Macaca fascicularis: one gene and its partners. The protein of the gene in region 4 purifies or fractionates together with the protein of the main gene of each other region. This does not show direct contact. Links are inferred from orthologs where the notes say so. Each region holds a gene or a part of one and is shown on either strand. Other genes may lie near its edges. The genes, in order: PRKCD, RET, AP2M1, SHC1, SOS1, GAB2 and KDR.

Region 1 (4,008 bases), on a different chromosome or scaffold from region 4:
CTTTCCCAAAGGATAGTCCTGGAACCCACCTGGTCTGACCTTTTCTCCCCATCCATCTTCCCCAATCTCAACCCAGGTGGCTGACAACATGGCAGCCCTTCTGTCCCCCATCCAGCCTCTCCTCTGCCCTGCAGTCCCTCTGCCCCATCTATCCCGCAGGAGCCCTCTAGAGCCTGTCGTCCTGACTGATTGTAACAGCTTTCACCACCTTCTCATTGCTCCGTAAGAAGACCAAAGTCCAATAACCTGTCTCTGTCACAAGCCCCTTTCTCAGCTCAGGCCACCTCTGGGATTGTCCCCCACTTCCATCCCTTGTGTTTAGACTTTCCCTATCCCTTCTAGGTGGTTCCCCAGGACCTGGAACCCTCTTTTTTGTCTCCTGGGAAGTGACATTTCTTTGGATCAGTATAAGAATAATGTCTTGGCTTTCTGAGCTCTGGGGACAGGGGAATGGACACCCTAGAACCCCAACTGGTCCCTAGACTTTGAGCCTAGGGGACACTCGATGAATAGATGGATGAGTGTATGAATGAATGAATGAATGAGTTATGGCTGACAACCAAGTTCCACGTCTGGAAAGGAGGCTCAGGCGCCTGCCAGGAGCAATAGAGAGGTCTCGAAGATGGGGGCAGGAGAGCAGAAGACTGCCAATCGGGGTAGGGGCAACTGCCAGTCGGGGTAGGGGCAGGTCCCAGAACCGCCTGAGGAGCAGTGCAGCGGCCGACCAGCGAGAACCTCCGGCCCTGGAGTGTAACCAGCTCAGTCTTTGGGGCAGAGCCGGGACAGCGGGCTTGGCGGCGGGCACCGAGCCCGGCCGCGTCCGAGTTCCAGCCAACAGGAAGAGCAGGAGTGGGGCCAAGGGAGGCGGGCCAGCTGGCTAGTGGGGAGTCCCGGGCGTGGGTGTGGGGAGCGGGGGAACCCCCGCCGGCGCCTCCCAGGCCCCAGCGGGCGGGGGGCGCCTCCTTATCGGGCCTCAGCGGCCTCCTCTGTAAAATGGGCCCCTTCTGAGGGCTGGCTGCGCGTAATGGCGGGAGGATGCGAAGCGGGCCACAGAGGGCAGAGGGGCCGGGAGACTCAGTGTCCCGCGCAGAAAGAGGCAGAGGGACACAGTCCCCGGTTGCAGCTGGTGGGGCGGGGCCTGGAGGGGCGGGGCCTGGAGGGGGCGGGGCCGGCGGCACCTGGGTGAGGTCGCGCCGCCCCGCCCCCTCGCACTTCCGTGTGCCGCGGCGCCGGAGCCCGAGGCTGCTGCAGCCCAGATCCCCCGAGCGACCCCCGGCGCCCGCCCGCCGTGCCGAGGCCCGGGCCACACCTCACTGGCCGCTGGACTCGTCCCAGTCAGCGCCGCGCCGACCGCCGTCCGCGCGCGCCAAGGAGCCGCCCGCCCGCCACCGCCGCCGCGACCCTTGGCGCCTGCCCCTGCGCCGGGAGGTGAGTTAGGGCCGGGACCCGGCGCGGGATCGGGGCTACCCCGAGGGCGCGACGCCCTTTCTTCCCCTCCCCGGCCCGGTTCCCGTTTCCGAAACTGAGAAACTGAGCCGCGGTCAGCGAAAGTCCCTCCGCGCCGAGACATGCCGGTGACTCCGTCCCCCCGTCCGTCTGTCTGTCCGTCCCTCCGCCAGATAGTGGGGGCTGAGGTCTTTCTGTCCGCCCGCCCGTGTGTCTCCCGCTCCTCCGAGAGGCCCGTCCGTCCTTCCCGACTGTCTCCTGGGCCCTGTGACCGTCCGTCTGTCGCCACCCACTCTGTGTTCTCCCCCTGCGCGCCTCTCCGAGACCCGATCCGTCTGTCCCTCGCCCTCCGCGTGCTCCATCGCCCCACCCCCACCCTTACCCCCGCCGGCCGCCCCCTCGATCCCGTTCTCCCGGAGCCGCGCCCCCGGCCCACGCTTGCCGCCCCCTGCCGGTCCAGCCGCCTATCCGCTCTACCGCGGAGCCCAGGCCAGGCCGCCCGCCGGGCCTCGCCTCCCGCCCCTGGGTCCCTGGAGGCCCGACTCGCGCGGCGCCTCCTCCTCGCTGTCTCTTCTTTCGGTCTCAAGAGTCTTTCTCGGTCCCTTCATCCGTCTCTGGGCTGGGCGTGGCTCCAGTCTCCACCATCCCCCTTACTGCCCCACCCCTCCGCCCCTCTGAGACCCCTTCCCAGGGTGGCCCCTGCCCGGTGTGGTCTGCACCCGCCCCCAACCCAGATGCCACTCGCGTTGTGGGGGCTCTGCCAGGTGAGGGGAGGGAGGGGGAAGTCCTCCTGGCTGGTGGTGGAGAGGCAGAAGGAGAGCACCATCGGAACTGCTCCCACTTCCCCAATTCCCTCACTCTTGGGGCACAGGAGAGCCCCACTGAGCCCCCACTTAAACCTGGTCAGAAGGATTTGCTGTGAGTGTGTGGGGGGGTCCCCTTCTCTGATGCCTACCCTGTATGCATGGACGCTATCTCCTTGTGCTAAGTCACTGGTATCTGGGTGTGTGGGTTGTCTGTGTCAGCTTCTGTGCTGTCACTGTGGGACTTGCCTGTGCATGTGTGTCCTTTTTCGCATGTGTGGCTTGCTTGTGTGTATGTGTGTATGTCTGTTTGTGTCCTGAGGCTCTGTGTGTGTCTTTTGCAACTGTGTGTACCATTCTTGGTGTTTTTGTTGTCACCAGACTTGTGTGTGTGTGTGTGTCCTTGTCTGCCAGTGTGTGTGTCCCTGTGTGTCTGGAGATTTCAGTGTTGCATACTGGGTATATCATGGTGACCAACTGCCCACAAGTACCTTAGATCTGTTAATTGTGGAAGCCCCTGGTGTTGGGTGCCTGCCCACCAGGCTCATGTGTGAGTGTATCTGTATGAGTGTGTGTATGTGCGTGTACTCATGTGTGGCTCTCCCTCTGCCACTGAGCTTCTGTGACCAGGCTCACCTGGTCACTAAGGGAGGGGACTGATCCCTGGGGTTTCCTCGTTCCTACTGTGGAGTGAGCTGGGGCGCGGTGGGCAGGCCAACAGAGGGAGGCTGTATGGCGCATGTGTGATGTGTGCAGTTGTGTGTGTGTGTGAGACAGAGAGGTGTGGAGGTGTCTGGGCAGCTGTACCTGGCTGAGGGGTGGTGTGAGGACTATGGGATGGGACGGTACTGGGGTAAGCCTGGCAGTGTGTGGTCATGGTAGGAGTGTGTGACTGGTGGGACACAGTCTATGCTTGGGGAGTGACTGTGATTGTGGGGAACGGAGAGTGCCTGGGCGTGGGTGTTAGCGGCAGGAGGGGGTGTGACAAGGTGTGTGGTGACAGTGCTGGGAGGGAAGGTGAGAGCCCAGTATGGGTGTGTGAGTGTGTGGGAGACCATGAGGATGTGGGTGTGCACATGGAGAGGGCTAGAGGGCAAGTCTTGGGGTTAGCAGTGTTGTGACCAAGACCTCGGGCTCTGGATCCAAGAATGATTTGGGCTCCAATACTTGCTTGTGCCTGTTAAGAGCAAGAGACCCAAGCTAGGCCTCTCAAGGCTGAGTGTCTTTATCTGCAGAATGGAGAAAGTTGTGTGGACAAAAGGTCCTGAAGTCTTATGTTGTCACCACCCCCGGCTATATGGTTCCCATTCTCCTGGGAGCTGGGGTTAAAGAAAGCCCAGACAGTATCCAACCCAATTTCCTGCCTGTCTGTTGCCCCTTCCCATCTCCTTGACCAAGCAGCTTGAGGGAGGGAGGATGCCCAGACAAAGCCCCTAGTACCCAGCCCTGTTCAGCCTGCATGACAGCCCCTCCCTCACCAGCCGTTAGTGTCAGTAGCAGCAATGGGGGAGAGAGGGGTGGGGAGTGATTCAGAGCTGTGACTGCAGGGCGCTGACACCATTTAGCTGGCACAGTTTAGATTAAAATTAGAAATAATTTAAAGTACAGACGAAAAGATAAAGCCAAGGATGCCTCTATCCCCAGGGAATGGTGATGAGGGTCTCCAGCTGGGGGAGGGGCTCACATCTGGGGAGCAGAATCTTTCTTAGAGGCTTGAGCTGGCTGTCAGAAAAAATGCTTAGGCCTTTCAGCCAGGAGA
Region 2 (3,500 bases), on a different chromosome or scaffold from region 4:
CTGGCGTGCGGTGTGCGCCCCGCTCTGACCGCAGAGCCCCCTTCCCGAGAAAGGCGGCTGGCCCGGTCCCGGCTGGCGATCACGCGGGGCCCCTGTCTGCTTGGTGCGCAGGTGAGGGTCTGCCCTTCCGCTGCGCCCCGGACAGCCTGGAGGTGAGCACGCGCTGGGCCCTGGACCGCGAGCAGCGGGAGAAGTACGAGCTGGTGGCCGTGTGCACCGTGCACGCTGGCGCGCGCGAGGAGGTGGTAATGGTGCCCTTCCCGGTGACCGTGTACGACGAGGACGACTCGGCGCCCACATTCCCCGCGGGCGTCGACACCGCCAGCGCCGTGGTGGAGTTCAAGCGGAAGGAGGTGCTTGTTCGCGCGTGCTGTGGTCTACCCAGTGTTTGTCTCCCGCCGCAGTTCGTTTCTCTGTCAGTTTAGTGTCCGTGTAGCCACCCAATCATGTGGCCGACCATTCACGCGTTCATTTGTCCTTCGTCTCCGTCGGCCCCCTCTGTCCTAGGGGGAGGAGAAGGGGGAGTCCTGTCAGCACCCAGCGGGGTCTTGCCTTGGGAGGCTGGGAACCCTGGGTGCCCAGTCTGGGACTGACCAGGATGAGGCCCGAGGGCTCGCGTCTGGGGCACACTTGTGCCGCTGCAGGCGGGCGCGGCGCGCTGCCCGGGCGGGGAGCATCTGCCGGGAGGGCACTCCCTCCCACCAGCAGTCAGCCCCCAATGGGAGGGCCATTGAGTGACCAGGAGCGGTGCCGGGGATTGGAAAGGGACAGGAAGGCGGATCGCCGCCGGCCCGGCCCCGCCCCGCCCCTCTCCGGTTCGCGCTGATGGAGCGCCACCGCCACCTGCTGAGCCTCAGGCCTTCCTGCAACCGGCCCACTCCGCCGGGGCCGTGGGAGAGTGGGCGTGGAGACTGAGGTAGTGCGTTACCTTGTGCCGCTTCTCTGGGCACACCACGTGCAGGTTTGGCAGGGAAAGGAGGTCTGACCGAAAGTACACCTTGTGAGTAAAGGCTGTGTGGGCCTCCCTGGGCCGCCTAGGGGTGACAGCAGAGGCCTGGTGCGCAGAGCCATCCCAGGTGCCCCGCGGCTTTCCTCACAACCCCCTCCAGCCTGGGGGAGGAGGATGCTTCGAGCAGAGTGCTTTGATGTACACCTGGCCTCGGATCTCGGCTCTGCCATCTGTTCCTGTGTGACCTTGACCTGACCTTCACCCTGTAGGGCCCAGCTTCCTCAGGGGAGAGTGGAGGTGCTCATTCTGCTCTCTAGGGACCTTGATGGGACCTGCCAGCAGGGTGCCTGGGCATCAGCTGTAATTCTCCCTATAAGAGGTCTACATTGCACCTGTTACACAGAGGGTCAGTGGCTCAAGGAAGGTGACTGGGCCAGGCTGGCCAGTGACCCCGTGGGAACTTGAATCTAGGTCAGACAGTCCCCATACCTGGCTCTGACAACGCACACCTGGTCCACCTGTGGGCTGCGTGGGACGTGCAGCATCCTGAGGTCTCTGGTTTTGGGGGGTCTGAGGGGCCACTCTCACCTGCACTGACCAACGCCCTCTGCATCCTGCAGGACACTGTAGTGGCCACTCTGCGTGTCTTCGATGCAGACGTGGTACCTGCGTCAGGGGAGCTGGTGAGGCGGTACACAAGCACGCTGCTCCCCGGGGACACCTGGACCCAGCAGACCTTCCGGGTGGAGCACTGGCCCAACGAGACCTCAGTCCAGGCCAACGGCAGCTTCGTGCGGGCGACCGTACATGACTATAGTAAGAGGGGCTGGTGGCATGGCCTGGCTGGGCCCCCAGGAAATGAAGTGCTCGTTCTTCATGGGCAAGCAGCACCCCACACACATGCACACCTGGCATGGCCCTCTGTGGCCCAAGCCACTTCCCCTCCACCCTCTTCGAAGCACTTCCTGTGTCTCTGCCAGGCCTGCCCTCCATCCACCAGCAGGGCTTTCACCATGGGTCCTCTCTTCCTGAGCTGCACCATGGCCGACCCTGGCAGGGCCCTACCACACCCCCATGCTAACCTCGCCAGGGCTCACCACTGATTGCAAACATACATGTCACCTGAGGCTTTCCTCCCGCCCCTGGCACTCCATCATTGCCCCTAAGGTATCTCAAATGCTTAGGGATTATTGCTCCAGCCTTATCAGCTCTCTGCTAAACAGTCTGGTATACAGAAGCAGCCCTGAGCCAGGTCAGGGCTTCTGAGCCCATTGTCCTGCCTGACTCCTGACATGTGCCACCATGCTCACCTGCTTGCAGGGCACCTTTCAGCTGAGGCCTTGCTTCCTGCCTCCCTCCCCCACCTCCTGCTGATTTCTCCTGGGATGGCCTTCCAAATAAACCACCTGCATTTGGGGTCTGTGTCTGGGGGAACCCCGGGCCATGGGTCCTTCGCCCCTTTCTGCCTGGCCTGGTCCTGTTCATTCCTCAGTCCTCCCCACCTCACCAAGCCTATGGAGGCCCCACCTGTCAGAAGGGAGACAGCCTCCTTGCCCTGGCACTGAACACCCTGTCTGCCAGAGTGCCCCTCCCATCATTGTTTCTACCGCATGAGAACTAGAGCGGAAGCACGCGGCAGGTACACGGACGGCATGACTTCCAAGGCTTGGCCTGCAGGGTCATTGGGTCTGCTGGAGGCTCCTGCAGTGGAGGGGAGTTCTCCCATGCTCTGGGGAAGCTGTTTGGAGGGCTCTAGCATGTTCTTCCCAGGGCCTTGGTAATGCAGACCTTTAAGCCCCCATGTCACACACACACACACACACACACACACACACACACACACACACACCCTGTTACCCCCAAAAAACGAAACTCTGTAAAACATTTTAAAGAGGTTTATTCTGAGCCAGGATGAGTGACCACAGCCTGGAGAAAACACAAACCCAAGAAACCTTGAGTAAGTGGTCCCCAGGTCCAAGGTGGTGGGGTTACAGTTTGCTTTTATACATTTTAGGGAGACAGGAGTTATAACCAAGGACATAAATCAACACTTGGAAGGTATGCATTGGTTTGGCCCCAAAATGCAGGGTATCTTAAAGCAGGGGCTTACAGGTTAGAGGTACATGCAGAGATTCTTTAATTTACAGTTGGTTGAAAGAGTTAAGCTTTGCCTAAAGACTTCAGGTCAGTACAAAGGAATGTTAAGGAGGCCTGCTATGTGTCGCGTGATGCTATACAGGGTCAGGATGGAAAGTAAACCGCGTTATACCTGGGTAATAAAAAAAAAAAAGGTTTTTAACAAGATTTTATGGGCCAGGCATAGTGGCTCACACCTATAATCCCAGCACTTCAGGGAGACCGAAGCGGATGGATTGTTTGAGTCCAGGAGTTCAAGACCAGCCTGGGCAACATGGTGAAACCCTGTCTCTACAAAAAAATACGAAAAATTAACTAGGCGTGGTAGCACACGCCTAGATTCCAGGAACCTGGGAGGCTGAGGTGGGAGGATGGCTGGAGCCTGGGCGGTTGAGGCTGCAATGAGATGCAACAG
Region 3 (3,370 bases), on a different chromosome or scaffold from region 4:
TGAGATAAAGTCACAGAATGGGCCTGTGGCAGTGCTCCTCATTTGGCTCCCTGGCTGATGGGCTGGCCTGGCCCTTGCGGGTGTTTGTCCATTGGCTGGTGGTGTGGCATGAGTTAGAGCTGCAGCTGTGGCAAGGTCTGGCCTGCCTGAATCTGGCTGGCTACACCCCCCACCCCCACCCCCGGCCCCCCTCCTGCGTTGGATGGACTAGGCAAGCCAAGGCTGGGTCACACGCCACCTTGCCTGTCTTGTCTGCTTCCACCTCACGGTGTGTGCTGCCCTCCCGGTGTGTTGTGTGTCTAACCCTCTCTCTCGTTGCTGTCACTCTCCTCTTCTTGCTGGCGTCATTTCTCTCATCCCATCTCATTGACTGCCGTAGCAATAGGTAAGCGGCCTCTCAAGCTGCTGCCCAGGTACAGGTGGGTGGGGGCCCTGCCCCCATCATTGTTTTCCTGCATCCTTTTTCATTCCCTGAACTTGCTCTGGAGTTGGATCCTGGGCAAGAATGGGTAGCACAGTTCCATGGCCCCTTGGTACTTCCTCCTTTGTGACTTCTGAAGCCATGCTGGCTTTGTATAACATCTGGAGGAGTCGGCCCTCCCCACTGGTGGGATCACTAGTGGGAGGACTGGAGAAGCAGTGTCTCTTTCTGTCCTGGACCTGGGAGCTTACAGGGAAGCTAGATAAAGCTGGGAAATTAGGGCCAGCCCTGGGAGTCAAGAATATCTGTCTCTAAACCTGATGAACCTCACTTTATTAAGGTTACATCGGCCTTAATAGTTGACTTCCCTATTTCTTGTGGCCTTTAGACACTAGCCCAGCTCAGGCACTCTTCCCATGCCTCCACAGGGAGTCATAAGAAGGGAACCACCCCAGTGGTTTAGGCATTGGCTTTCTTTAGATTGTGTGTGTCAGACTTCTGCAGAAAGGTGGGTGGAGCTGTTAACAGCTGTGGTTGATCCTTGTGGGGTAAGGTTCGCCTGGGTGCTGAGCAGGCCCTGTGCACCCTTTCCCCTCAGGAGGAACGCAGTGGATGCCTTTCGGGTCAATGTTATCCATGCCCGGCAGCAGGTGCGCAGCCCCGTCACCAACATTGCTCGCACCAGCTTCTTCCACGTTAAGCGGTCCAACATTTGGCTGGCAGCAGTCACCAAGCAGAATGTCAACGCTGCCATGGTCTTCGAATTCCTCTATAAGATGTGTGACGTGATGGCTGCCTACTTTGGCAAGATCAGCGAGGAAAACATCAAGAACAATTTTGTACTCATATATGAGCTGCTGGATGGTGAGGCTGGTGGGCTGGCAGGGCAGGGGGCCTAGGGTGGGAAAGAACCAGGCTGGGCCTGGCCTGAAAGTGGGTGTAGGTCCGAGGCTCTGGTACACTCTGAACTTTCTTTCCTGAGTATCTGGGCTCTTGGACTAGGATCTCTATGCCCCTCAGAAGGCCAGTTCACATCCAAACCTAAAGGCTGGTCTGAAGTAGAACACAGAAATAGGCCAGCAGGTGTGGAGGGGAAGTTTTGGTCTTCCACGGGGCTAGGAACCTGACTCAGGTTTGGTGGTGAGCCTCCTGTATTCATCCTCTTTCCTTTGTGGCTTGGACCTTACTTCACTGACTGTCCACCCAGTTTTCCATCTCAGCAGCTGCTTCAGAGCCTGGGGGAGACTGAGATACTACAAGCCTCTGGGGGTGCACTGTTACCTCTGTTTCTCTGTAGAGTGTGATCTAAGGGAAGGTGAATCCTTCCACCTTCCCATTGTCTATTTTCTGGAGAAAACAGCTCAAAGCTTCTTGATTTGCCACCCACTGGCCATGTGACTCTTCTATTGATTTCTTTTTTTTTTTTTTTTTTTTTTGAGACAGGGTCTTACTGTTGTCGCCTATGCTGAGTGCAGTGGTGTAATCGCAGCTCACTGAAGCCTTGACCTCCCAGGCTCAAGCAATCCTCCAGCCTTAGCCTCCTGAGTAGCTGGGACCACAGGCACATGCCACCATGCTTGGCTCATTTTTACTATTTTTTGTAGAGCTGGGTCTCGCTATGTTGCCCAGGCTGGTCTTGAACTCCTGGGCTGAAGTGATTCTCCCACCTTGGCCTCCCAAAGTGTTGGGATTATAGGCATAAGCCACTGCGCCTGGCCTTGATTTCTCTATTTGAAAAAATCAAACATTTGAATTGTTTTCCTGTAAAGCACAAATCACAGAATAAATGCTACAAAGCTAGAAGACTTTGTTGCAGATGATCCCACATGGTCTTTGGGAGCTGTGCCAGTCAGACATGTGTAGGCCCAAGTAGGGACTGGAATGAGAAGGTTTGTTCAGGGGCTGATGGTTCCCTTCTTTTTCAGAGATTCTAGACTTTGGCTATCCACAGAATTCCGAGACAGGCGCGCTGAAAACCTTCATCACGCAGCAGGGCATCAAGAGTCAGGTACTTGAATTGTGCAGACTATAGTCAGGGTGCAGGCCAATCTCCCTTCATCTCAGCTGGCCCCTGAGCCTTGTCTGAGCTGACTCATAAGCCCTCCCATAACAGGAAGTGCTGGCCTGAGCCTCCTGCCATGATTGCAGGCCTATTTTGCTCTATGTGGTCCTCCCACTGCAGGAGCAGCCAATTCAGCATCTCTGTTACCAGGAATACAGCTCAAGCAGTTTCCTTTTGCACTGAGGGTTGGGGGAGGAGGCCTGGTCTTGAGGCCTGGTGTTCCTCAGGAGGAGAGAGCTTGGGCCCTCTCCTATAGGATCCAAGCCTCATAGCTTTCTCCTCCTTTTCTGCCTCCCTTGCTACTTCATGTGGGCACCTCGTTGGCCCTGCGGCCTCCAGCATCAGGTAAGCCCTTCCCTTAGCTTCCGCCCTTGCAGCTTTGCTTTGTTTCTCCAGGCCCTGCCCTTTGGGGCTTATAGGGGAAAATGGATTACAGGTGGGGACTAGAAGGGATGGGGAATGAGGGTGGAGTGGGGATAGAGACAGGATGATTAAAGGGAGAGGGGAGTGAGGCTCTTGCTGTTTGTTTCTGCTCCCATGTAGACAAAAGAAGAGCAGTCACAGATCACCAGCCAGGTGACTGGGCAGATTGGCTGGCGGCGAGAGGGTATCAAGTATCGCCGGAATGAGCTCTTCCTGGATGTGCTGGAGAGTGTGAACCTGCTCATGTCCCCACAAGGTGAGGTCCCTCTCACAACAAAGCTGGAGGGGGACCAGGGCAGGATCCTGGGTCTGCCTGCCTGACTCTGCTGCTCCCCATTTATCTGTTCCATCATCAGGGCAGGTGCTGAGTGCCCATGTGTCGGGCCGGGTGGTGATGAAGAGCTACCTGAGTGGCATGCCTGAATGCAAGTTTGGGATGAATGACAAGATTGTTATTGAAAAGC
Region 4 (3,035 bases):
TGGCCAGGCCTTTGAGTTGCGCTTCAAACAATACCTCAGGAACCCACCCAAACTGGTCACCCCTCATGACAGGTGAGCAAGTGGGGAGAGTGTGGAGCAGCTTTTGAGACCAAGATTGGGAAAGGAGGGCTGTTCTTCCCACACTTGAGCTGAGAGGTTCAGGGAGGGAATAACCTGTGTGCCTCTGCTTCCCACTTCCTGCTATTCTTCTGTTTCCTGTGGCCCAGGAGCAAAGGCTTTTGAGGCCCTGCTTGCCGCAGGGCCAGCTTTTCTTGTTTGCTCATGGTGGAGCTGTAGTCCGGGGCCTCCAAGTTACATCTCTCTCTGGCTAGGTGGGATTTTCTATTCCCATTCCTCTTTCTTGCTCATTTCTCTGCTTGGCATTCTGTGTTTTCCTGCCTCTAGAAGCCATCAAGACTTTGGGTTTGGGAGGATATCTCTTTTCCCTGAGATTACAATCTTTCCCACCTCAGGCCTTGAGGGATAAGCAGTGGAGCCAGTAGGGATTGAATATTTAGGAGAGGTAAAATCTGGAGCTGGAGCGCCTCCCTGCTGACGCTGACACACACACGCGCGCACACACACACACACACACACACACACACACACACACACCCCATAGTGCTTCTGGAGCTGGAGCGCCTCCCTGCTGACACACACACACACACACACACACACACACCCCATAGTGCTTCCCTTCCTTGTTGGGAGAGAGCACAGAGATCAAGAGCAAAAGCATTACTTACTTATTTTGAGACAGAGCCTTGCTCTGTAGCCCAGGCTGGAGTTCAGTGGTGCAATCACAGCTCAATGTAGCCTTCATACCCTGGGCTTGAGTGATCCTCCCACCTTAGCCTCCTGAGTAGATGGGACCACAGGTGCATGCCACCACACGTGGCTGAGTAGTAGTATTTTTATTTTGGTAGAGATAAGGTCTTGCTATGTTGCCCTGGCTGGTCTTGAACTCCTAGGCTCAAACAGCCCTCCCTCCTTGGCCTCTAAAAGTGTTGGGATTATAGGCGTGAGCCATTGCACCTGGCCAAGGGGGACGAGCTTTAAAATCAAACCTGAATTTAAATCTGAGCTTAGCCGCCTTTTAGTTGTGAGACCTTGGGCAAATCTTTTCACCTCTGACCCTCATTTTCCTCATATGTAAAATTGGGGAAGGAAACAATACCTACCTTATGGGGTTGCCAGGAGAATGAAATGATTATGTATATAAAACACTCAGCCTCAGGCCTAATCCACAGTAAATACCCAATAGATGGCTGCTGTTCTATTCCCTCCTCCCCTCCTCCTGCCCACCACACATTTACAGCTACACCTTCACTGTCCTGTCCCTCAGGATGGCTGGCTTTGATGGCTCAGCGTGGGATGAGGAAGAGGAAGAGCCACCTGACCATCAGTACTATAATGACTTCCCGGGGAAGGAACCCCCCCTGGGGGGGGTGGTAGACATGAGGCTTCGGGAAGGAGCTGCTCCAGGGGCTGCTCGATCCACTGCACCTAGTGCCCAGACCCCTAGCCACTTGGGAGCTACACTGGTAAGTTGCTTGGATGGAGGTGGGCTGGGCCTAGGGTGGGAGTGGTTGTTTAGGGCTTCTGGTCTCACCTTATTTTTATCCCTGCAGCCTGTAGGACAGCCTGTTGGGGGAGATCCAGAAGTCCGAAAACAGATGCCACCTCCACCACCCTGTCTAGGTATGAAGGGAGCTGAGATGGACAGAGCCAGGGAGTGCTGGAGGCAGGGCTGGGGATCACTGTAGAACCTGTCTTTCCTCAGCAGGCAGAGAGCTCTTTGACGATCCCTCCTATGTCAACGTCCAGAACCTAGACAAGGTCCGGCAAGCAGTGGGTGGTGCTGGGCTCCCCAATCCTGCTGTCAATGGCAGTGCACCCCGTGACCTGTTTGATATGAGTGAGTGCTTGTCTTTCCTCTCTGCATCTCCACCTTTCTACTTGGTTCTGGCCCTTCTCCTGCCTATCTGCTCTTTCCTTCCTGACTTCCCTTCCCTGAAGTCTGGGTCTTGGGTGTGTGTTGTGTCTGCTACTTTCCCTCACCCTCTGTCTACACTTCCAGAGCCCTTTGAAGATGCTCTTCGGGTGCCTCCACCTCCCCAGTCAGTGTCCATGGCTGAGCAGCTCCGAGGGGAGCCCTGGTTCCATGGGAAGCTGAGTCGGCGGGAGGCTGAGGCACTGCTGCAGCTCAACGGGGACTTCCTGGTGCGGGAGAGCACGACCACACCTGGCCAGTATGTGCTCACTGGCTTGCAGAGTGGGCAGCCCAAGCATCTGCTACTGGTGGACCCTGAGGGTGTGGTGAGTGTGGCAGAGGTGTGGGTGAGGGGTGGCAGAAAGGAAGGTACAGTACCCTACAGTGTATCCCTGTTCCTTCCCTCATTGCTTTCTAGACATTCCCGCTAGGCAGCTCTCTGTGGGCCTCTCTTGCTCTTTAGGGTGTCTGGCATCTTCCTCCAGGGGCTCATCCCTTAGCCTGAACTGTGTTCTTTATAGTCCTGGCACTATAGGGCTGGGCGTGGTGGCCCACACCTGTAATCCCAGCACTTTGGGAAGCTGAGGCAGGTGAATCACCTGAGGTCAGGAGTTTGAGACCAGCCTGACCAATATGGTGAAACCCCATCTCTGCTAAAAATATAAAAATAAGCTGGGTGTGGTGGTGGGCACCTGTAGTCCCAACTACTCAGGAGGTTGAGGCAGGAGAATTGCTTGAACCCAGGAGGCAGAGGTTGCAATGAGCTGAGATCGCACCACTGCACTCCAGCCTGGGTGACAGAGTGAGATTGTCTAAAAAAACAAAACAAAACAAATACAGTCCTGGCCCGTCCTCAAATCCCCAAGCCTTATCAGAGCTAGAAGGCAGTCATCTCATCTGTGCCCATTTTTACAAATAAGGAAACCACCCCGAAGAGGTTGTGAGGCCCAATGTCACATGGTTAAAGGCTAGACACTGCAAGTTTCCTTTCGTAAGAAGATCCAAGGGCTTCTCCAGCTCCTCAGACTCAGGAGTCAGACCA
Region 5 (4,006 bases), on a different chromosome or scaffold from region 4:
AGGTAAGAGTAAGAGAACACAAGTTGGATGCATCTACAAATAATTCAATAATAAATCAAAGGAAGAAATCAAGATATGGAGATATCCACATGAAATGTCCAGCAGGCAGGTAAAAACGTAGGTTTTGAGCTACCAACAACATATCCAGATATGAAATATACTGTATTTTCAACCTTGTTTAGAATCATTGTTAGTGGATATTTAAATAAGAATTGGAAGAACCTTACATATCAGCTAGATTATGTACACTTCCACCTCCTCTTATCACTTCTACTGCAAAAATATTTCTAGCTTAAAGTCAAAAGCTGGTTTATGTAAATATGCAAAAAGGACAAGTGGGGGCTGTGGTAAGGTGGAGATACACGACCTGTCTAAAGAAGGCAGCCATTTACTCACCTCCAGCAGTTTAGTGCCTCGCTTGAATACAGACCCTAAATGACAAGACCTTCCTATTCGTCAAGAAAAGCAGAAAATTCAGATTTTATGTAATATCTCCCATTTTCAAATATTAGCAACTAATTACATTTGAAAATAAAACCACACTGTGCCAGCCAAACAAAATGCTTCTGTGGACAGATTCCAGCAAGGGCCACCAGTGTGGCAGAATTAAAACAAGGTCTGTCAACTCCTACAATATTCTTTCCACTACTTCAAAGAATTCTCAGCTGATAGCTTGGTGATTCCCTAAGAAAGCAGCTGTTTTTGCCTCTAAGCAAAATGGCCCCTATTTGGCAATACTTTATGAGTTCCTTTACAGATTTTTAAACAATTTCCCTGTCTTCTCTTACCCTATCCGGACACCAGCTTCTAGCATCACAGAGACGTCCTACACCCATTCCATTGCAAGCTGAGAAGCCAAACTTGCAAGTAAAGCAAAAGTAAGGAGTGAGAGCCTGATGGGATTTCTAAGGAGTAAAGTATGTAAGATACATGGCATCTTTTTGGTTTTCTTTAAAAAAAAAAAAAAAAACACATAGATGTTTGTGACTAGTCAGACACTTGAAGGGGAAAATGTCCGTAACTTAAGTCAGAAATATATGAGCAAATACTCCTGACAAACCAAATAGTTTCCACTGTAAGACAGCAAGAGGGACAGGAGGAGAACAGGGCAAAAGGGAAAGTAAAAGTTACTGGCCTTTGAGAAATATCAGACAGCTTTTAATGTTTAGCATAAAAGGTACAACATTAATCTCCATTCTTAGTAGAAGCAGTTAGCATGAAACATTCTTTAAGCAGCAAGAAACTGGAATTTAGAAACACTATTAGAAGAGTAAAGCAATCTTTACAGAAAAGGTAAATGAAGAAAAGGAAACAAAAATAGTCTGGTAGTCACACTGCTGCTTTAGAAGCTTTAAAAATGTAACAACACTTCCTAATTATACTAAAACATTTAAAAGCACAGATCGGGGGTATGTAACAATGTAGCAAACTTAAACATACAAAGGCTAAAAATTCTTAACCAAATGACAGCACCAAGTTTCTAACGCTGCAAAAACAAAACAAAAAAACCCCGAAATTGGTAGCATGTGCACCGGCCCCTGTTAATCGGAGGAGCGGGGGAAACCAGGAGAATGAGGAGTGATTGCTGATGGCGAACAGAGCAGGCCACGTTACTGCTGGCAGGCGAGCTCGCAATTCCTTTGAGCAAGCACTACGGCCAGGGCATTCTCGAAAAGCCACTAAAACGAGCGTACTGGACACCTAAAACGGCAGGCTGACAGCAGCTCCGCGCTAAGACCGAGAAGGCGGAAAGGTGGCCTGCTTTGACCTCCGCAGAAAACTGAGGCTCCTGCAACTGTTGTCTTGGAATCAAAGGGCAAAGCATTCACCTCTCAGGGGTTGGATTATTCGGATAAACTCCCGCCAGCTCCCTGCGGCCTTCCCACACACCCGGTGGATGTCAACACTGAGAGCCAGCCGTATGGCGAGCCTCTCAGTGTGCGCCGTCCTTCTGGAGACGCGGCGAGACCGGGAAGAAAGACAGCCCTGCGCGCGCCCCGCCTCCCCAGCCCTTCCCCAGCGCCAGCCCGGCGCCCGCGCTGGGGTGCTGCGGCCGGGAAGCGGGGTCCCGCGTGCTCCTCACCTTTTTCAGCGCAGGCACCAGCAGTCCCCGCCACTTGGGCGCGTTCTCTTCGCTGAAAAACTCGTATGGCAGCTGCTGCGCCTGCATGGTGCCCCCGGGGCGCCTCTGGGCGGGGAGAGGGGCGGCGGCGGCCGGGCCGGGGAGCTGCGAGAGGGCGAGATCGCAGCACGGAACAGGGCCGCGGCCCCACCGGACGGCCCGGCCCCCTCCGGGCGCCGCGCAGCCGGGCTAGCCCTGGTGAGGGGGCTGGGGGGCGAGGCCCGCGCCCGGCCACACACCCGACACGGGTACCAACTGTGGAGAACGAACGCGGCCCGGAGGCGGCGGCATCCCGCACCACCGCCCCGGGGCCAGGCCCCCCGCGCCTCCTCCCCGGCCCGCCGGCGCCGCCCGGGGCTGCCCTCTGCCGCGGCCGCCGCCCGCCCGCCCGCCGGGGCTGCACTCTCGGGCCCGGCCTGGCCCCGCGGCGGAGCTGGCGGCTGGGGGAGGACGTGTGGAGGTACGCTCCGGCCGCGGCGCCCGCTCTGCTCAGTTGGTACCCCGAAACGCAGGAGCCCCGGGCGGGGCTGAGCTGGGGCGGGGGTCTCACGGGGAAGGGGAAGGACCCGAGGTCGTTGTTGGGGAATCTGGCTGCCCTGAGGTGCCGCCGCAGCCGCCGCCGCCGCCGCCGGTGTAGCGCTAGAGCTTCCTACTAGCGAACTGAACCTGCTCGCTACTGAGCATGCGCCGCCGGGCTGGGCTGGTTCGCTCCGGGTTTTCCGGCTCCCGGTGAAGGAGGAGGGAAGCTCGAGAGAGAGAGAGGGAGGGCGCCTGGCCAGGCTGTTGCTGCGCTCCTGGGGGCTGCAGGGGAGGGGCGAAAGGACCCGAGAAGTCGAACCCTGGCAAAGTGGAGCCTGCAGGGGTGGGTGATAACTAGGGTAAAGAGGCTCCCCATTGTGTGGTCTGGCCGTGAGGGCTCCCACCCCTCTCGGAATCCCTGGGCCCTTCGTTTCGGAAAGGGGTGTGTGTACTTTGTTCCTGAACACGAAGATAAGGACTGCCCAGAGCACGCAATGTATAGTAAACAGACTGGACAAAAGATACAGGTGCTCTGTCACGAAACCTACTGCTCAGTATCTGCTGAGTAGTAGAAGTGATTGCAGTGTTTCTAACTGGTCTTTCCACAAAACCAAGAATAAAATGTGTACGTGTAGTATTGATTTTGTGTGTATGTTTTAGATTCCCTCTGTTCATCTTTTAAACCCACTCCAGATATGAACTCCAATAAACACTTTCCTCCAGTGGATATCGAGACCTCTTCTACAGCTCCTAGAGCACTGCACTTACGCCCTTCTCAGGGCGTTCAGTCTATCGTGTTTTGTATCTTTTGAGGTTCTTTCGACTAGATAATATACTGGAAGGCCGATCTTTTTCACCAGGGCCTCTACACAGAACAGGCACTCAGTGAATATTAGTGGAATGCTAAAGGAGCAGTATTTATAAACTGTCCCTCCAGGCCACTGTTTGTTTATAATAGGGGCACTTTGTGGCAGACACCTTATGATTTATCATTAATTATCACTTTTTGAGTATCATCTCATTTAATCCCCATAGCAACCCTATTATTTTCATTTCACCGATAAGGCAGTTTAGAGGAACTAGCCTGGGTTAAAGCTGACATTGTGTCCTCCTATTCCTGAGAACAGTAACCAGATCAGGCAAACGAGAAAGGTTCAGTGGTTCTTAATCTTTACAGGACCTCTTTGAAAATCTGGAAAAAACTCTTAGGTTATTTCCTTTAAAAATATACAGGCCGGCCAGGCGAGGTGGCTCATGCCTGTAGCACTTTAGGAGGCTGAGGCAAGTGGATCACCTGAGGTCAGGAGTTCGAGACCAGCCTGGCCAACATTGTGAAAACCTGTCTCTACTAAAAATACAAAAATT
Region 6 (4,040 bases), on a different chromosome or scaffold from region 4:
CTGACTGCTAAAACTCCTAGGGTATCTAGAAGAGCTAAGTACGTGATAGCGGATTCGCTTTTCCAAACTGAGGAGGGTGAACTTCCCCCAACCCAATCAAGATCTGTTGGACCAAATGATGTCCAACTGCTTGAAACATCTCAGCTGCACAGAGACAGAAATGAACAAAACAGCTTTAGTCTAAGGTTGTGTGGGGCAGTGCAAGATGCTGCTTCTCCAATTCATCTGTCCACACAGCACGGTTCCCCATTGAATAAACAGGATACTATCCACTTATCAGAGAAGTTAGGGAGGACCTGCCTTTTAATGCTGCTTGGAGAGACACTGTCAATGAGCGGGGACGTTGGGGAATTTGGACCCCAATTTCTTGTTCTTCTACACTTGACCTTGCCTTCCAATTCACTATGAAATATATTTACTAGGTTTGCTTCTTCCATTCTACAAATCATGCGAGTTTTCTATACTTAACTGTTTTCCTAGAGGCAATGTAGGAGGGACTCAGCTGGACTTTGTTTCCAGGCAATGAGAGGCTCCCAGGTTGATCCCATTAAGGCAATGCCCTCATTTTGAATAGGGGATGACTGGGACCCCTCCTCCCCCACACACCTGAATTGGAAACTTGGCTAGGCTTTGTACAAGCCCTTGCCCTTAGGCAGTCCATAAAATGGGAACAATACTGAAGACAATCCTGTAAGCCAAGAGTGCAAAGGCTCCGGCGCGTAGTAGGTCCGTCTCCTCCTCCCGCCGAGGGGCGCCAGAGTTAAGGAACTTCTTACTGGGAAGGGGTCCCTCCTTTCAGCAGGAACCTGACCCGCAGAATGGATCGGAAACGCGAGCAACCCTCGGATCCCTTCCCCGTCGACGCTCGGTGAAAAATCGATCGACGACGGAGGGCGCGCAGTCCCTTCTCCGCACGCCCGCCAGCGCCAGGGGCGCGGCCGCCTCCCCGGCCTCCGCGCCCGCAGCTTGAGGCCTCAGGAGAAAGCGAGATTCCGGGGCTCGCCGGCGGCGGTGGCTTTCTGTGTCCTGGCGGATCCCCAGCCCCGCGTCCGCGTGCGCGGCGGCCTCGGGGGCGCGGCGGGAGCGGGCGTGGCGAGCGCGCCGGCCTTCCCGCTGCAACTGCCCCCGCGGCGGCCCGGCGGAGAGTGCGGATTGCGCGCGCTCGGGGCGGGGGAGCGGGCGCGCGCGAGGCCGCCGGGCGCGCGCCGCGCCGCCTAGTCCCCGCCGGGCCGCCCGCCCCGCCCCTGGCCTCCCGCGAGCTGCGCACCGCCGGCCGCTGCCCCAGCTGCCCGAGCCCGCGCCCTAGTCCGCGCGACCCAGCGGCGGGCTCCAGGCCGGCAGCATGAGCGGCGGCGGCGGCGACGTGGTGTGCACCGGCTGGCTGAGGAAATCGCCTCCCGAGAAGAAGTTGAGGCGCTATGTGAGTGCGGGCGCGGCCGCCGAGGGGCGGGCGGGCGGGCGGGGGGCGCTCCGGGGCCTGCGGAGGGGCGGGGGGCTCCCGGAGGGGCGGCAGGCTGGGGAGCTCGGGCCCGGAGCCGCGGGGGCCGGGGGCGAGGAGCGGCCAGGGTCGTGTGGGGTACCTGCACACCTGTCACAGGTGCGCCGCCGAGGGGCGGGGCGGGGCGGGCGGCAGGTTGAGGCTGCGGCTCCTGCTCCGCCAGGCGGGCGCGGCGTCGGCGCCTCCCCAGGCGGTCTGCCCGTAAACTAAATATAGTGTCGAAGTTTGTATTGATGGCTTCTGGAGACCGAGAGAGTTGACTCTCGGGGCTGGGGCTCCGCGGCGGCCCCTAGCAGCTTCAGCTCACAGGTCCGGGAGAGGGCGGGAAAGGGGGGCGTAGGCTGTGGGCCCGCGCGGACGGCCCCACAAAGGGCGAGCGCCTCACGCCCTCTCCTTCCCTTTCTCCGCCCGCCCCTCCCGGCCGCCGGCCTCACTCCGTCCGCGGCTGCATCACCGGCAGCGTCAGCGGCATGTGCAGCCCTTGTATTAAGTGACTCATTTGTTTGTCCCCCTTCTCTCCCTTTATTCCGTTCGTCTCTCACAGGCGCCTCCCCCGACCCCGGTGTGACACTGCAGTTTGGTCCCCGTGGCTGGCCCGGGTTTGGGACCTGGCAGCTCCCGGTTGTCTGGGGTCGGGAGAGATCGAGGCTCTCGGCGCCCAGGTGTTGCCAACCCACAGTGTTTACTGACATCGCTGGAACAGCCTCTTCCCTCTAGGTGGGGAACTGGCAGTTTGGGGGAGGTGGAACGGCGTGGCGCTGAGCCGTGGAGTTCTGGCTTTTTTTTTTTTTTTTTTTTAACCCCTCTCCCCAGAGGATGCCTTGCCTGGTGAGGTCAAAGTACAAGATGGTGCCAGTTACTGAGATTTTGCCGAAATGGTCCTGGGGTAGTCGCGGGAGTTTGGAAGTGGGGGTAAGGTGGCTGGAAGGTTTCAAGGTCTCTCATCTGCTCCCTCTCCTTTTCCCATGAAATGCCCTTGTTTAACGGGCTGTGGTGCCGGACTCCGGGATCACTCCCACAGCCTGGAAGGGAGCCGTTGCCTCCAGCTGCAGTGCATCAAGGGAGCTCGGAATAGACCCTGCCCTCTGTCAGCTGCACCAGTGGCTGTCCATGGGGGGAGAAGCAGAAGCCTACCAGAATTTCCTGTCTTGGCTCCCCAGATCAGAATCAAGGGACTTCTGGCCTCTGGACTGAGGAAGTGACATTCTGTTTTTCAAAGGAAGTGTTGTTGTTGCGGAGTGCAAGTGTGTGTGTCAATGAAATCAGGCTCTTACGTAGATGTTTGCTAGGAAAAAAAAAATTCTGATTTAGCACATGACTTTTGAAAGTGGACGTGGATTTATAGGAGGGATGAAGCAGTGAATTGTTCATCTCAGTTTGAAAGCTCATTTTTAGGAGTGTCTATGTAGCCAAAGTATAATTATTAAGAAATACACTTTTTTCCTCTTCAGGCTTGTATCAGTTCGTTAGGAAGGTTGAATACTTTAATTAGGATTAAGGAGCAGTGATTTACTATTAACAATTTAATAAATATTTTTAAAACTTTGTCCCAAAGAGCTTCCAAAAATTATCTTTACAAATAGATTTCCATACAAGCTAGTGGAATAGAGTGTCCACAGTAAAAAAAAAGAAAAAGTGACCCTTAGTTTTCAAATTTGAACACTACACTAAACCTTGAAACTTGTTTTTGAAACAATTTGCAAACAGTATGACATTGTATCTCCATTTGACTTACCGCTCCTTGAACGCTCACCCAGACTCTCTTTATGACCCATTTCTTGGGTGTTTTTGTTCCCAAACAACTTTAGTTCAAAAAAACCAGGTTTGGAGGCATTTGGGTCAAGCACCTTTTTCACTCATTTGAACGAATCTAGAATCGTGTGATGGCCTTAGCCTCTCTTTCCCATCTTCGATGCACCTTCAGCCCATCAGGTGTCAGACCTTAACAGCTTTCAGTAACAGCTTTTCTTAGGCCAGGATGTGATGTGTTCACTTACATGACTGGAAGCCTCTGCCCTTTCGAAAGTTCAGTTTCCCCCCAGTTGAAACTGCTGATCTGTGTAACCTTAAGCTTCCGGGGAACAGTATTCTTTTACGTCTACTGTTTTTGGGGGTATTAAGAATTTTTGCATCCTGTTGTAAGTTAAAACTCTGCTAGTTTGCTTATTTCAGTAGAGGCCCGAGTTCATCAGAACCAAACTTGGAAAGTATTTCCCAGCCTAATGGCTGTATATTTACCCCAAAGTAGCTGCTGCTTCTGGTATACATCATAGTCATGTTATATTGTACTGAGAAATCCTCTTTATAAGAATGCCACAAGCATATGAGATAAGGGGAAAAAGTAGTTGATGAACTAGGTTATAACTATTTAAAACGATTTTTTTAAAAACTGATTTAATTCGAAGGCTGGGCGCAGTGGTTTATGCCTGTAATCCCAGCACTTTGGGAGGCTGAGGCCGGCAGATCACTGGAGGTCAGAAATTCGAGACCAGCCTGGCCAAAACCCCGTCTCTACCATAAATACAAAAATTAGCTGGGCGTT
Region 7 (3,500 bases), on a different chromosome or scaffold from region 4:
AGTGTGTGTTATTCCCTTCCCTGTGTCTATGTGTTCACATTGTTCAGCTCCCACTTATAAGTGAGAATGTGTGGTGTTTGGTTTTCTGTTCCTGTGTTAGTTTGCTGAGGATAACGGCTTCCAGCTCCATCCATGCAGCTGCAAAGGACATGATCAGATTCCTTTTTACAGCTGCATAGCATTCCATGGTGTATATGTACCACATTTTTTTTATCCCACTGACCTTCTATTATGAAAAATGCCTCCACTTTTGCACAGCCAAGAACACTGCATGCCTGGCAGGTGTAGAGGCCTTCGTCCTCCTTCCTCACTCTGCGGATAGTGAGGTTCCGGTTCCCATCCTTCAATACAATGCCTAAGAGAGGAAGAAAATGATCATTCTCATTTATGATGATGTGGTCTGTGAAGTTTTTTAGGGAAATTTAGAAACTATAAATGCTGCCCTTCATCTTGTTCCATTGTCTAACTTCGTAGAGTCACATGGGATCTACTGCTGACTAATCTCCTATATGGCTTTCATGAAAATTCAGCAAGGCCCCATACTCCAATTCCAAGTGTATGAAATCAGCCAGGCCATGGACACCAATACTGCTTTTTTTCTACATTATATCAAGAAATAACATAGCTTTTTATGTCATATCCCTGGGAAAGTTCTGCAACCCAAGAGTAATAGCCAAGTTCTATTTACCTGAGTCTTCTACAAGGGTCTCATTATCTTTAAACCACATGATCTGTGGAGGGGGATTCCCAGATGCCGTGCATGAGACTTCAATGGTTTCCCCAATACTCGTCGTCTGATTCTCCAGGTTTCCTGTGATCATGGGTGCCACGCGCTCTAGACACACACAAAGAAAATCACAGAACATGGAATTAAAACTTTTGAAATGGCTCTAGTATCACCAAACTTTTAAACAGTTTAAATTTAGTAAAAAGAAACTTGTTGATTTATTAGGTTGAACATACACAGAAGTTAATAACGGCACCATTGGTCACTGGGTAAAGTTAAATGAAACAAGTCAGTCAGGACACTGCAAACAGATTAACGGCTTTTAACATTCATATTAGTGATACTAGCTGGTCATCCCATCACAAAAGAAAGGTTCAGGGTCACCTCTATGGATTTTTCCCGTAATCAGGCACAGCCTCCCCAGCTGAAAACTTCCCTCCTGTGAAGGTTCTAGTCAATGACACCCTAGAATCCCTTCAAATTTCTCTTGGAAGTGCCAAATTTTAGTATCATTCAACAAATAATGCCTTACATTTATTTGGCAATTCTTATAAAGTTTGTTTATACAATTTGTGTTCCTCACTATTGATCTTACGTAATGAGCAGAATAGGACTGTTAGTGTTATCTCACAGATGAAATAAATGATGTTCAGTGACATTAAACTACTTGTCCATGTCCCTACAACTAAGTAAACACTTGAACTGTTTACTGAATCTGGTGAGGCTAAAAGACCAGTTCAGTGCTATTTCCACTAAAACACAAGCAAAACAACAATACCCTAAGGGAAGTCATGGATTTAAAGAAAATGAAGCCCATGAGTATTTGTTTAAATGTACAAGAAAACTTTAGATTTATTCTTTCTTCAGATCATCAAAGTGCTGTGGAAATATCTTGTCCCAACCAACTGAACATCAAAAGGAATCATGCTGAAAAAATCCACTTCAACACTTAGCAAAATGAGATTACCTCAACAGCGTACTACATTGAAGTCTAAGCAAATGTACTGGATTCTAGCCTATTTCTAAGAATAGATTTTAGGAAAACAAGTTAGGAGTCCTTAAGGAAGCAAACCAGCTAACTGTGAGCACATATTTTTCTGGGCAAAGCTAGGCCAGGAGCCTACTTCACATCTCTTTCTCAATTCTTCCATAACCTTGAAGCCAGACCAGCCAACAGAAAATCCATGGTGAACTATGTGGTGTGACTTGAAGGGTCCTGGGGATGACTTGACCCCAAAGTATCTCTTCTTATGACACCTGAGTCTTAAAACTAGCGAACTTTATGCTAGTGTCTGTCAGAAGCTGCCTCTTCAAATACGTCAAGGCCTCTGATGAAGACATTACCCTCAAACCGTGGTATAGATGAATTTACTTGGGCAATTTCCTTTCTAATGATAAAAAAAAAACAGAGGGCACATATATCCTAGGAATTGAAAGAGACACCAAAAGAGGAGAAAATAGAGAGAAGTGGCGCAAAGAGACGCTCCCCAAATTTGCCTGATTTTCCCACAGACAGAGCCATGGCTGCCCAGTTTTTGCACAAGGCATGAGGTTAGACAAGGGGTAGAGAGTGCCCCTATGGAGGAATTTACAGAGCTATCTGCTCACTGAAGTGATCGTCCCATTGACCTTGGACCATGCTGGACCATGTAGGTTCACCCAGAGGTACAGACAGACCCAGAGGTACAGAGAGAATGTAGCTTTCTTCCCATGGAATCTTCTAGGTCTTAAACTCAGTCCATCATCCCACTCTTCATGAAGCAGGTGCCCTTTTGAGCACTTAGTGTATGCTGCTATGCTGTATGACTAGAGCTACAGCAGGGAGCAAAACAGAGAACAATTCCTATCCTCACGGACACAGAGACCTCACTGTGCTGTGACTTCCCAGTGATTGCCTATGTTCCCCTCCTTTCCCTCATGTTTACCACTGTGAATTTCTGACACTCTCCTAGCTCATAACAGGCATTCCACAAATATGCATCTGTTTAAATAAATAGATGCCCAAGATAAGGCAGAAGTTTCCCTGGTTCAAGCTAATCCCTTGCATATACTAGTGAATTACTCCATCATCAGGTTTTGTTATTTTCTCTTTTCAATACATCATTTCATTATTAGTAGCTTCTTTCTGCCTCAGGGACTTTCAGTGAAGAAGTGCGCACCAGTTTACAACACGATCTCCTAGAGAACAGTAATCTTCGCATAGCACCTGAATTGCACTACATTTAAGGCATTCCAACTGCCCCTACACAATGATCCAGAATTGTCTCCCTACCGAGGACTGTGAGCTGCCTGACCACGCAATGTCTTTTCTTGGTCTTCCTGTCTTGAGCAACGCAGACATAGTCTCCTTGGTCCTGCAAGGATGCATTCTTAAGCTCCATGATCAAAATGTCATTTGTGCTATTAGAGAATATAGTGGCATTCAATTTCCAAAGAGTATCCAAGTTCTTGCAAACAGGTGTGGGCAACTCTCCCACGTGGACTGGCAGAGGCTGTGGGCCAAGCTTGTACCATGTGAGGTTCTCAAATGTAGATTTGTCTGCAGTGCACCACAAAGACACGCTCTCCTGTTCAGTGGGCTGCAAGTCAGGTTGCAAAGTAATTTCAGGACCCCCTAAAATGTAAAGACCATTGTTACTGAATGGTGATTTAACTTGGTATAGCTCACTATCATCTTGCTGCTTTCAGACTACTACAAAGTACCAAAAGAAATGAAGCTCTATCAGTTCCAGGTGATGTACTACAACTTGACAAACAAACTAGACAATTCAGG

Evidence for each region.
Region 1: the proteins of SHC1 (region 4) and PRKCD purify together in Homo sapiens (affinity purification with mass spectrometry; 3 studies listed by BioGRID and IntAct, with this or other methods). This does not show direct contact. The link is inferred for Macaca fascicularis from reciprocal best matches to the Homo sapiens genes SHC1 and PRKCD.
Region 2: the proteins of SHC1 (region 4) and RET purify together in Homo sapiens (affinity purification with western blotting; 4 studies listed by BioGRID and IntAct, with this or other methods). This does not show direct contact. The link is inferred for Macaca fascicularis from reciprocal best matches to the Homo sapiens genes SHC1 and RET.
Region 3: the proteins of SHC1 (region 4) and AP2M1 purify together in Homo sapiens (affinity purification with mass spectrometry; 3 studies listed by BioGRID and IntAct, with this or other methods). This does not show direct contact. The link is inferred for Macaca fascicularis from reciprocal best matches to the Homo sapiens genes SHC1 and AP2M1.
Region 5: the proteins of SHC1 (region 4) and SOS1 purify together in Homo sapiens (affinity purification with western blotting; 14 studies listed by BioGRID and IntAct, with this or other methods). This does not show direct contact. The link is inferred for Macaca fascicularis from reciprocal best matches to the Homo sapiens genes SHC1 and SOS1.
Region 6: the proteins of SHC1 (region 4) and GAB2 purify together in Homo sapiens (affinity purification with western blotting; 6 studies listed by BioGRID and IntAct, with this or other methods). This does not show direct contact. The link is inferred for Macaca fascicularis from reciprocal best matches to the Homo sapiens genes SHC1 and GAB2.
Region 7: the proteins of SHC1 (region 4) and KDR purify together in Homo sapiens (affinity purification with western blotting; 3 studies listed by BioGRID and IntAct, with this or other methods). This does not show direct contact. The link is inferred for Macaca fascicularis from reciprocal best matches to the Homo sapiens genes SHC1 and KDR.

Annotation. Positions count from the first base shown.
Region 1 is NC_088376.1:116,296,965-116,300,972, forward strand, and holds the start of PRKCD (protein kinase C delta type), read left to right. Parts: upstream 1-1,208; 5' UTR 1,209-1,428; intron 1,429-2,238; exon of another isoform or gene 2,239-2,364; intron 2,365-4,008.
Region 2 is NC_088383.1:52,371,225-52,374,724, forward strand, and holds part of RET (proto-oncogene tyrosine-protein kinase receptor Ret), read left to right. Parts: intron 1-111; coding exon 112-353; intron 354-1,569; coding exon 1,570-1,765; intron 1,766-3,500. UniProt on the Homo sapiens protein: Receptor tyrosine-protein kinase involved in numerous cellular mechanisms including cell proliferation, neuronal navigation, cell migration, and cell differentiation in response to glia cell line-derived growth family factors (GDNF, NRTN, ARTN, PSPN and GDF15).
Region 3 is NC_088376.1:96,097,113-96,100,482, forward strand, and holds part of AP2M1 (AP-2 complex subunit mu), read left to right. Parts: intron 1-1,019; coding exon 1,020-1,285; intron 1,286-2,346; coding exon 2,347-2,429; exon of another isoform or gene 2,430-2,789; coding exon of another isoform or gene 2,790-2,828; intron 2,829-3,026; coding exon 3,027-3,162; intron 3,163-3,262; coding exon 3,263-3,370.
Region 4 is NC_088375.1:106,179,118-106,182,152, forward strand, and holds part of SHC1 (SHC-transforming protein 1), read left to right. Parts: coding exon 1-72; intron 73-1,345; coding exon 1,346-1,544; intron 1,545-1,631; coding exon 1,632-1,701; intron 1,702-1,783; coding exon 1,784-1,918; intron 1,919-2,080; coding exon 2,081-2,319; intron 2,320-3,035. UniProt on the Homo sapiens protein: Signaling adapter that couples activated growth factor receptors to signaling pathways. Participates in a signaling cascade initiated by activated KIT and KITLG/SCF.
Region 5 is NC_088387.1:83,039,229-83,043,234, reverse strand, and holds the start of SOS1 (son of sevenless homolog 1), read right to left. Parts: upstream 2,801-4,006; 5' UTR 2,171-2,800; coding exon 2,084-2,170; intron 1,954-2,083; exon of another isoform or gene 1,830-1,953; intron 1-1,829.
Region 6 is NC_088388.1:77,317,322-77,321,361, reverse strand, and holds the start of GAB2 (GRB2-associated-binding protein 2), read left to right. Parts: upstream 1-1,240; 5' UTR 1,241-1,342; coding exon 1,343-1,420; intron 1,421-4,040. UniProt on the Homo sapiens protein: Adapter protein which acts downstream of several membrane receptors including cytokine, antigen, hormone, cell matrix and growth factor receptors to regulate multiple signaling pathways.
Region 7 is NC_088379.1:78,793,592-78,797,091, reverse strand, and holds part of KDR (vascular endothelial growth factor receptor 2), read right to left. Parts: intron 3,342-3,500; coding exon 3,000-3,341; intron 836-2,999; coding exon 689-835; intron 356-688; coding exon 224-355; intron 1-223. UniProt on the Homo sapiens protein: Tyrosine-protein kinase that acts as a cell-surface receptor for VEGFA, VEGFC and VEGFD. Plays an essential role in the regulation of angiogenesis, vascular development, vascular permeability, and embryonic hematopoiesis.